Linked DNA regions of Mus musculus. The protein of the gene in region 3 purifies or fractionates together with the protein of the main gene of each other region. This does not show direct contact. Links are inferred from orthologs where the notes say so. Each region holds a gene or a part of one and is shown on either strand. Other genes may lie near its edges.

Region 1 (2,915 bases), on a different chromosome or scaffold from region 3:
CCTGTAAGCCACTTTAGTGAATTTCCTTTTAACATATACATAGCTCATTCTCTGTTGTTCTCTGGGAAAACCTAAATGTATTAGTACTCAAAAACTTTCATTCTTCCCGGACACCTGAAATCTCAGTAAGAACAAGGCTTCTTTTATTTACCTACTTGTTTTATAGGTTTGTGGAGACAGGATTTGTGTAGCCCTGGCTGGATGTTATAAGATAGTTTATCTAAACTACAAGACTGTTCCAGGGGACTCCTTTATCTCACAGATGGTGGAACGTGTGAAATCCAGTCAAGCTATGCAAACTCCTAAGTACAAAAGGCTGGTGCCACCACAGCTGCTGTGGCCACCTTACATGGGCACAGCGCCACCTTGTGGTCAGTCCTAAACTAACCACTTGTTACCAGGGCAATCCCAGCCAGGCTGTAGGGGATTTTAGAGGGGGAAAGGAAACCATTATATTTATTCTACAGGAAACTAAGGCACTCAGGGTGTTTTCAAACATTCAGACACATTCTGGTCACTTTTATAATTTTATTGTTTTTTTTTTCTCTTCACATCTTTTAAAATAGAAATAGCCTATGAACAACAGTTTCTTCTCCCAAAACCTCAATTCAATTGATTGCCTCAGAAAGGCTGTCAGAACATCACTTGGAGGCACAGGTCAGTGGCACACTTAATGCCTTTGCCCTGGGGTCAATCCCCAACACTGGAGAGGGGAGAGACAAAAACAAAAAACTACAAATCAAAACTTAAACACTGCCATCTCACTCCCTGCACAACTACTGGACTCAGCAGGCAGCAAGTTCAAATTTCTGCCCACAAAAATCAGCTGGTCAGTACTAAATCTGTTGTCAGCCAGACTTCTCTCTGCTCGTCTCTTTGCAGTTCTTCCATCAGCGAATCCCAGGCTGATGGGCATCTTTCAGGGCACAGTGAAATTAGAAGGAGCAGTAGTCAGTCAGGTTCTAGTCACCTCTCCTCCACCAGCTGGCCAGCTGGGAAACTATCTCCAGCCTCGCTCCCGGCTTTATCTTCTTCTTCCTTAAGACATTGCTCGCAGTTGCACAGAACAATGACTACAGTGTCCATTAACCTGAGAAGTGGTTTGAGCCTGACATCTTTCCTGAGCTAAAAATGAGAAAAAGCAGAGCTACGGCCTTCCTGCCACAGGGTCAAGAGAGGGAAAGCTCTGAAGGGCAGCGCTGGGAAGCAATGAACTCTCCTCAAGACGAGGGACAAGAGGGATGTGCTGCAGCCGAGGGTACAAAACAGATAGACAGCCTGGGGTCAAGGACAGTGGAGGGGAAGGACAGGTTTATTTTCCCCTTCGGAACTTCCCCGCTCCCCCAGTCTTTGCTTTCTTCTTAGCAGGCCCCTTGGGTTCTGGCTCCTTGCGCTTAGCTGAGGAGAGTGAGCCTGTCACCTTGAAGAAATCATCGAGGCGTCCCTGGGTGCTGCCCTGGCGGCTCTTACTCAGCCGCTTGACCCCACTGCGAATTCGCTCTTCAGAAAACTGCTTTTCACCACACATAAATTTGACCAACTCTTCTTCATTTGGCTCGCTCCACTTCAGCTCCACAGACTCTGGGTCCAGTACTTCTGGCTCCAGGAAGAGCTGCTGGGCTTCCTTGTGGAGCCAGTTCTCTGGAACGGGGTACTTGCTGGGGTCCAGCCGCCTCACGATCTCCTCGATGCTCTTATGTTTCTGGATGAGATCCACAGCCCGCTTGGGCCCAATGCCACGGATGCTCTCGCAGTAGTCGCTACCCAGCAGGATGCACAGATCCACAAACTGCTCCTGGTTCAGACCCAGCTCCTGCAGGACGCGGCTCAGATGGAACTCTTGGATGGGCAGCTTCTTGGCCTCACTGGCAGTTAAGTGTCGCATTAGCACGGGGCTGCCAAAAGTGAGGCAGTCCATGTCCTCCGTGGCCGCAGCATAGACTTTGCCAGCCTTTGCCAGGGCAGCACAGCTGGCCTCTGCCTCGCTGGGTGCATCAAGGTAAGGGATGCCCATGAGGCTCAGCAGGTGTTTGCACTCATCATTGTGTTGCTTGGTGACCTTCACGAGCCTCTTGGTGAACTTCTCCACCTCCTCCTCCATCCCAGCCTCCTGAGCCTGCTGCAGTTGCTTCTCAGCCTCGGCGCGCCTCTCACTGCGCTTGGCCAGCTCGCCTGACTTCAGCTGTGGTGGTTTGCCATCAAAGACGTACACAGGCTTGATGCCATTCTCCATCATGCGGATGGTACGGTAGAACATGCCCATCAGGTGGCTGGTGGTCTCACCCTCCTCGTTCTGCAGCACATCCCCACCCTGACGAACAGCAATCAGGAACTGGTAGATGCTCATGGAGGCATCGATGGCCACTTTGCGACCAAAGTAGCTCTTGATGTCATTCTCACGGATGGCACTGGGGGCCACATCAGCAATTAGTTTGGCAAGGCCGTGAATTCCCATGGTAGCACAGGAGCAATGGCTAAAACAAAGAAAGAAGAGTAAGAGGAGGAACTTGGAGGATACAAAAGGAACAAAAGTTTTAAGTGGCAACATTCACCAGTCTCATGGTTCATCAAACTTAACATGAGACACAGCAGGACTCCAAGCCAGCAGAGCAGAAGAGGCAAAGGTGAACAAGATCCACCATTCTCAAGCAGGCCTCCTGACAATCAGAAGCTGTTCTGGGCGCTTCAAGGAATGAGATCTGGGATGTTCTTTTGTTTTTGTTTTTTTTTTTGGTTTTCCGAGACAGGGTTTCTTTGTGTAGCCCTGGCTGTCCTGAAACTCACTCTGTAGACCAGGCTGGCCTTGAATTCAGAAATCCGCCTGCCTCTGCCTCCTGAGTGCTGGGATTAAAGGCGTGCGCCACCACACCTGGCATGGGATGTTCTTGAATAACTTAAGGGCTCTGAATAACGCA
Region 2 (3,120 bases), on a different chromosome or scaffold from region 3:
GTCATCTGCTGCCAAGATTCCCTGTCATAATGGATTCTTATTGTTCTAAAAACCATAAGGCAAAAACCCCTCCTTTCTATAAGTTGCCTGGGTCATTGTGTTTGAGCTTACCAATAGAAATCAGAAAGCATGTCTGTGTTACAGCACAGACATATACACACACAACCTGAATATCCCGAAGCTTTCCCAAAATAGCGTTTACAAATAGTTCTCACCTTTCTTTAAATAGTCACCAAACAAACAAGTGTCTGACTCCGAGGTGAGGAAGAGAGTTGTCAGAGAGTTTAAACCCTGAAATGGCTACTCACCAGTAACGTAAAGACTCCTACCGAGGACCTTCAGAAGACCCTTGTTTGCCTCTCGGAATCTGTGGTGGACATACAAAATCCATCTCAGACCTTTCAGAGAGACTGAGCGCATTAAGTCTCTCAAAATACTTAGTTTATTTTAAAAGGAGAATTTTCTCACTCTTCACAATTTATTTCATAATAAAATAATACAATAATTGTTTCAGGATTCAGTTATATTATTTTATTATAATCCTTTTTTTCCAAAACAACTAAGTTGAATATAATGTAACTGTCAAAACCAAAAAAACAATCACATGAACTTTTAATTATTTCTCCAACTGTTTCTTAACAGTTTACAAAGGAAGCACTCAACAAAATAAACACTCTACCAAATCCATGGGGTTGCAGGCTTTTAACACAAGTAACTCAAAGTCTCAGTTCTGGAAAGTGCTTCAATTAAGAATTCTTTTAAAAAGAAAATCAAGGCTGCTTGAAATTCATGAAGCAGGAATAAAATACTGAAGAGAAATATCTTCATGAACCAAAACAAGATGAAGCAGAGTATTGCTCAAAATATTACATAAGGCCATTGTGGGGTTTATCTGATGTCCATCAAAACACTGTAGAAGCTTCCTATTATCCACCCGCACTTGCACCATGGTTTCTGGGTCTCTGCCTTGAGACATACACAGAACGGCATTTGGAGGATTTCCAAGATTTTTAAAATAGCTTTTAATAGTCACTCTATCAGTTTCTACAGTCAAGTTCATTCTGCCATTGAGGTTTGCTTCCACCAGCACATGACTGCCCACGTTTGCCATCCTTTCCACCATGTTCTTCAAGGTCTTCAGAGCTGGCAGATAAACACTCACATCAGAGCCCCGAACATGGGGCTCTGTGCAGTCTTTCCATCGCCTTCTGGGAAGCACCCTCACAGGCAAATCGTGGACCACAGCACGGGTGTGGCCGGGGCACGATGCCAGCTCCACCACCAAAGTAAGGCAGGGGCGCTGCTTGTTGGTGAGCTGGAGCTTCAGGGATGAAGCATTGCCGGCATTCTTCACGGCTCTGGCCAGATGCTCAGACATCAGCTCAAGACAGATCTCGTTGAACTCCTGCGAGGCACCCTCCATGCAGAAGTGGTGGAAGACATCGCGCCGCATCTCACCCCACAGCTGGGCCTCACCCAGCAGCCCCATGGGACAGAAGTACAGCCTGTCAGGGCACACACGGAGCACACAGACCTTCGCCAGCTTTGCTACGGTGCTGCTGACCTGAATGAAGAGCTCTATAAAACGCTTGCTGGTGATCCTGGCCCGAAACCTCATGGTGCCTCAAAACCTCGGTGGTAGAGAGAGCTGTGAGGAGCCCGCTGCCAGAGAAGTCAGCTGGTTCACTCTTCCGGCCTGGAGTGTAGCCTGCTTACCCTTCCGGCCTGGGACACAGCCAGTTCACCTACCAAGACTGGGGTGCGCTCTACTGCCCCTCCCTCCTGCCCCAGCACTGCCTGCATTTGGGTTCCACCTACCTGCAGGCCCACTTACACCTGAGGCCACCGAGGGCAGATGCTACAGGGACACACTTTGGACTGTCTCTTCACCTTCCTACCTACCTGCCCTATTTGAATATTTCACTGCTTCTGGTCTGCTCATAAGAAGGTCACTCTACATAGTGTGACTACAATTAAAATCACCAGCACCATTGAGACAACCAACCCTTTTAAAACATTTTGGTGCATACATATACTAAATATATATTATAGTCCTGTTCAGTCCAGACATTACTTGCAGACGTTACTACATGTCTTATAAATAATGTGATAAATTGGATACACATTTTATAACCTGGCATTTGTGCCTAAAATGCACATATAATGGATATCACTCCATACTATCACATGCTAGCAAGTCTATATCATTTTCATGGCTAGTTTTCCAGTATATTGATAAAAATAATTATTCTATAAGAGGAATTTACATGATCCAATTTTGACCTATTCCTAGGATAACAATGAATTACACAAAATACATTTACTTTTGTCAGTATTTACTTGAGTTAAGTTTAAAGGGAAATCTTGGTTATTGCATGTACATATTAAAACTCTTCTGTTACCAAACTTTCCCAAAGAAATTTCTATCAACATACCTTCTCATCAGCAGCATCATATAACAATCTATGTTGTATGTAGTGATGTGATAGGTAGAAGAGCATGGCTTCAACTTACAATGTATGTATGTGAATTTTACATTCATGACCTTTTGTGGAGTTTGTTGCTTGATTTTTAAGATCTCTGATAAGACCAGGCTGGTGACACATTCCAATAATTCCAACACAGGGGCCCAGAGGCAAGGAGGAAGGATCACAAGTTTAAGGAAAGTTAGGGTTACATTCTAGGCCAGTCTAAGCTACATGGTGAGATTTTTATCTTAAATAAATAAATGGGTAACAAAAGAATAAAATCTCTGACAAGAACATTAGCCCTCTGTCCCTGTAAATATGGCCCAGGTTAGTATTTGGCTTTCATATTATTGATGATGTTCTTTACCCTTAAGAAAATACTGAATCTTTGTATGTGAAATGTATTTGTCTTTTTTTTTTTTTGTGCTCCTAGAGTCCTGATCCATGTGAAATACAAAGGATGAAGCTCAAACTTCTATACTCATCTAGTACAGCAGAGTGTTTGCTCAGCTCCACTTTTTTCAACTAGGCAGTGATGATGATGGCACAGATCTCTGACTAAGGTGTCTTAGAGACCAAGATCTGACTGCTTTCTTCATCTTACTCCTGCCCCAAAATGAGTCCTGACTCTCATTCCAATCTTTTTTTTATT
Region 3 (4,453 bases):
CATTCTTTTCACAGCAAAAAGGAAGGTAAGGTAATAACATACCTTGCCTATTAGGATGACCTAAAATGAATAAATACCTTCACAAATATGTAAAGAACTAAAACAAACATTCAACTTGTAGTTTAAATATTTATGTCCTATGATTATAACAACTAGGAGGAAAATGAATTGGAAATCAGTTTCCCTTTATTCTTTAAAAATTTAATTCATATATACAAATGCACCCCCTAATTATTAGGGCCTAATACTTCCCTCCCTAGGACTCCTCAACTTGTTCCAAAGAAATGACTTTTCCCTCCCCTAGCTGCCATCAGCTGCCAAAAGCATCTCTACTAGGGGTGGGGCCTCACTAGTCCTTCCCTGAGAAGTTAGTTTTCTAACAAAATACTGTTGGGCTTGGGGCCGTAGCTCAGCTGTAGTCGAGTGCTTGGCTAACACGTATGAAGTGCCAGTTTCAATCCCCAACACCACATAAAACTATAAATGGTTGCCTATCTCTATAATCTCATCACTTGAGGCAAGGGCAGGAAGATAAATTCCAGGTTATCCTCAGCTACACAGGGAGCTCAAGGCCAGTCTGGGATACATAAGACTCTGTTCCAAAAAAAAAGATTAAAAAAAATTAAAAAGCTTATATTCTAGAAACCTTCCTGTATGTATTTTCTATTTTTTTAACCATAATAAATACTTTTATGCCACAACAATAGTAGTAGCAGTAGTTGTAGTAGTAAAATAGTTCACCTGGTGTAGGACTTGATCCAAAAATAGATAAACAGTCTAAAAGGATAGTTAAGTTAATTCGAAAAGTAACAGATTCTTCCTGAATGACAAATTCCTGAAACACGTCAGCCTATGAGAAAGCAAACATGAAAACATGAAAGTGGATTATATTAAAGAATGAAAATTCACACGTCTATATTTCACTTTATGCTTAGAAAGTAACAATACTCTGCCAACTCCATGAGAGTATTTCTCATTCCCAACTAAGACATACTAAGTTTTCAACCTTTCCCCACTTGAATACTACTGAATGGTTTAATCATTAAACGTGGAACACTAAGTGATGGCTCATCAGTTAAGAATACTTGCTAATCTTCTAGAAGACACAGGTTTAATTTCCAGCACCCACACGGTGACTAAAATCCTTTTGTAACCATTTTCAGGGGATCCAACACCCCCTTCACAGGAACTTGGCAGGAACCAGGTACACGCCTTTTGGAGACATTCATGCAGGCAAAACACTCATACACACGAAATTAAGAAGCCAGGAGCTGGAGGTTGGCTCAGAGGTTAAGAGCACTGACTGCTCTTCCAGAGGTAGAGGTCAATTCCCAGCAACCACATGGCTCACCACTATGTGTAATGGGTTCTGATGCCCTCTTCTGGTCTGTCTGAAGACAATGTACTCACATACATAAAATAAACCTTTCTAAAAATATTAAAAAGCCAAACACCACAAAGTTACCACCCCCTAGTAAGGGCTCTTCATCTTCATTTCTGTATCTAAATTTAACACCTATGTGAACTTGCCCTAACTCTGTCTTGTGCCTATCCCTTAAAGCTAAAGTCACTTAAGGATAGGATAATTCAGTGTCAGGCAGTGGTGGTACATGCCTTTAATCCCAGCACTTGGGAGGCAGAGGCAAGGCAGAAGCAGGCGGATCTCCAAGAACTTGAAGCCAGTCTGGTCTATAAACCAAGTTCCAGGTAACCAGGGTTACATGTTAGACTCTATCTCCGGGGGAAAATGCTCCGAGGAAAAATTACAGCCAATAAGAGGAAAAACTAAAACGTGCATGACAATAATACTGTAAAGAGTAAATAGGGTTCTCGCCCTAATTCAATCAGTTGTAAGACTACTGAAAATTAAATCTGGTGCCACTATGTCAAACGAGAAAGTGTCTATATGTGTAAAGATTAAAAGAGGAAAATGGTGAGAAGAGTCATTAATAAACTATCACTAGTAATCGTTATCTGTGTGAGACAAGATGGGGAAAGTATTTGTTGGCAGGAAAGAAAAAAAAGTAACGACATTTTGTTCACTAACTTGAGTTTTGTTGAATTAAGTCCTTCCAAATTCATTCATTAGGGAATGCTTTAAAAATGTCTTCACTCCCCCATACCTGAATAAAGGCATTTGCTTGCACACACTTTGCATTCTCCACTGTAACCTTGATTCCGTTTTTGGTAGCAAAACACGTGGCGTGTTCTCTGAAATGAATGGCTTTCAAGACAGTGGAGAGATTCCTAACGTTGTCAAGGCTGGCCACTAAGCAGTACTGTTCGTACTCCTCTTCATTGTACTGGGTTAGGAGAGGCATGGATGGTCCACGGTACCGTCGGCTCCGAGAAGAAGGATGCTCCTCTTCCGGAAGATGTGTGAAAACCTGAGACACGGAACAACAAACCTCGCTATCAGTGCGGACAGGACTGGCGACCTCAACCCGAGCCGAAATCGAGATCATTCTATTTTCATGTCTCAAAACTACGGTATTCTACACTGAATGCAGTTCACAGGGTAGCTCTAAAAGGCGCGGGTAACCGGGCTTGCTTAGCACCTCTGAGCGCCACCAACCTGGCTTGCAGGAGAACGCGACTTCGGCCCGCTCGCCGCACAGCGGCCACTAAGGGAGCCCCTGGCGCCAGGCTGTGGGTGACGTCCGACCCCTCAAAGCCCCTGCCACCCCAGCCCCAAGAACACCCTGAGCGTCCAAAAAGCTAGCAAGCCAGGCAAACAGCTCCCGCCACCGTTCAGATACGCAACCACCTAGGCCACCGTCACCACCGAGCCGCCGTGTGCCTAGAGAGTCTACCTCGAGACCGGAAGCGAGCGCCTTGGAGCCGGATGACTTAACTCACAGCCTAACGTGGGCTACCATAGAGATCGGAAGGCAGAGCGAGCGGCAGAACCGGAAGTGCAGGCAGCGACCGACGCGGCGAGGCGAGATGGCGGCGACCAAGAGAAAGCGGCGTGGAGGCTTGGAGGTTCAAGCGAAGAAGCCAAAAAGGAGCTCGAAAGATGCCGGGCAGCCAGCTAAGCAGGCCGATGTGGCCAAAGAGGCGGAGGAGGAAAATAGAGATCGTATTCCAGGTCCGGTTTGCAAGGTAAGAGGCCCGACTCCCGAAGTTGGAGTCGGCGCTCTGACCCACCTTTGGGCCACCGAAGCAGCGAAGTGACTCCAGTCAAAACTTGACAGGATCTTATGCTTAGGGTTCCCTGGAGGGACTGGACAGTGTTTATGTCTAATTTTCGTGTAGATGGCCTTCTTCCTGGAGACAGCAGTTCGTAGACCCTAAGCCAGTTAACAGGGAGTTGATTTAATGGGTGTTTAGTTCCAGGATCCTTGTCTTCCAGTTACTGACCCCCACCCCGCCTCCCCAGAGTAATGGTTTTCCTTTGTCTTTTTTTTTTTTTTTTCTCAGAGTCTTTTTGGTGTAACTATAAATTCCTTCTGTTTTGGTCCGTATCACATAGGATTACCGAAGTATGTATGTATGTATGTATGTATTTATTTATTTATTTGCCAAGCCTTTAAAGCTACAGTCCTGTGAGTCTGTGACTCTGACTTGTTTGGTTAGATCTTTTAACTCAAGGGTCCTAGACCACTAGTTTTACTGTGTCAAACAGTGCGACACACTTATACCAAGATGAGCTTCCCTGGCCTTAGCATCTAGGAAATAATGAACAAGAGTTCCTCCAGAAATATTGGAGTTTAGAAGGAAAGAAGGCTTCATAGAAAACTGTGTGTCTCTTCTAAAGGCCAGCAGGTTCTTGTTGGAGTTACTTTCAGTCACCTGGAAACTCCTTAAGGAAGGTATCTGTATGGAGGAAATCTTGCCTCAGACTTGTTAGTCCTTTGTGCTTAGTGTAGTACTCAAGTACTGAGTGAGGCAATGTGGACATTGTACCCCACTTTTAATTAACAGTTAAATCTTGTACCTTTGTCTGAAAGGATAAAAGTGACTTTTGAGGAAAATTAGCTGGTTTTCAATAAAAGTTAGTGCGCTCCCTCTTAGGAGCTGGACATGAAACATGAAGGGAACTAATCTGAATCACACTATGATATATGAATTGGAATTAATGAGACAATTACTACTATTAGGGTGGTAAGGAAACACCCTAATAGTAACTTTTAGCTGAATTTCAAAGAAAGGCTTAAATTTATGTATTTAGAAAGACAGGGGGGGGGGGTGGTGGAAAAAATTCATCAACGGCATTAAATGGGGGTTTAGAAATTCTAAACTCAGCTGGTTAGCTGAGAATGTGCAGGGTCAGTGTTGGGCAGTGGAGGTGTAAACAGTGAACATGTAGTATAGAGGGTATTTGACATTTTGAGGTTTGGAAACCAAGATTAAATTGGGGCTAGTTGGCTGTCAGCGGTGATTCTGTCTGGGCAAGCCAGACATCCAAGAGCTTCGCAGCTGATAATCAGTCACAGGGATTTGAGGACAC

The links.
Region 1: the proteins of Rad1 (region 3) and Fen1 purify together in Homo sapiens (affinity purification with western blotting; 3 studies listed by BioGRID). This does not show direct contact. The link is inferred for Mus musculus from reciprocal best matches to the Homo sapiens genes RAD1 and FEN1.
Region 2: the proteins of Rad1 (region 3) and Hus1b purify together in Homo sapiens (co-immunoprecipitation; 3 studies listed by BioGRID and IntAct, counting the BioPlex papers as one, with this or other methods). This does not show direct contact. The link is inferred for Mus musculus from reciprocal best matches to the Homo sapiens genes RAD1 and HUS1B.

Annotation. Positions count from the first base shown.
Region 1 is NC_000085.6:10,198,624-10,201,538, forward strand, and holds the end of Fen1 (flap endonuclease 1), read right to left. Parts: intron 2,475-2,915; 5' UTR 2,456-2,474; coding exon 1,313-2,455; 3' UTR 509-1,312; downstream 1-508. UniProt on the Homo sapiens protein: Structure-specific nuclease with 5'-flap endonuclease and 5'-3' exonuclease activities involved in DNA replication and repair.
Region 2 is NC_000079.6:30,946,057-30,949,176, forward strand, and holds Hus1b (checkpoint protein HUS1B), read right to left. Parts: upstream 1,706-3,120; 5' UTR 1,619-1,705; coding exon 788-1,618; 3' UTR 520-787; downstream 1-519.
Region 3 is NC_000081.6:10,484,387-10,488,839, reverse strand, and holds the start of Rad1 (cell cycle checkpoint protein RAD1), read right to left. Parts: upstream 2,823-4,453; 5' UTR 2,576-2,822; intron 2,388-2,575; 5' UTR 2,322-2,387; coding exon 2,124-2,321; intron 851-2,123; coding exon 742-850; intron 1-741. Other genes in the region: Brix1 (ribosome biogenesis protein BRX1 homolog), read left to right, coding at 2,947-3,105. UniProt on the Homo sapiens protein: Component of the 9-1-1 cell-cycle checkpoint response complex that plays a major role in DNA repair. The 9-1-1 complex is recruited to DNA lesion upon damage by the RAD17-replication factor C (RFC) clamp loader complex.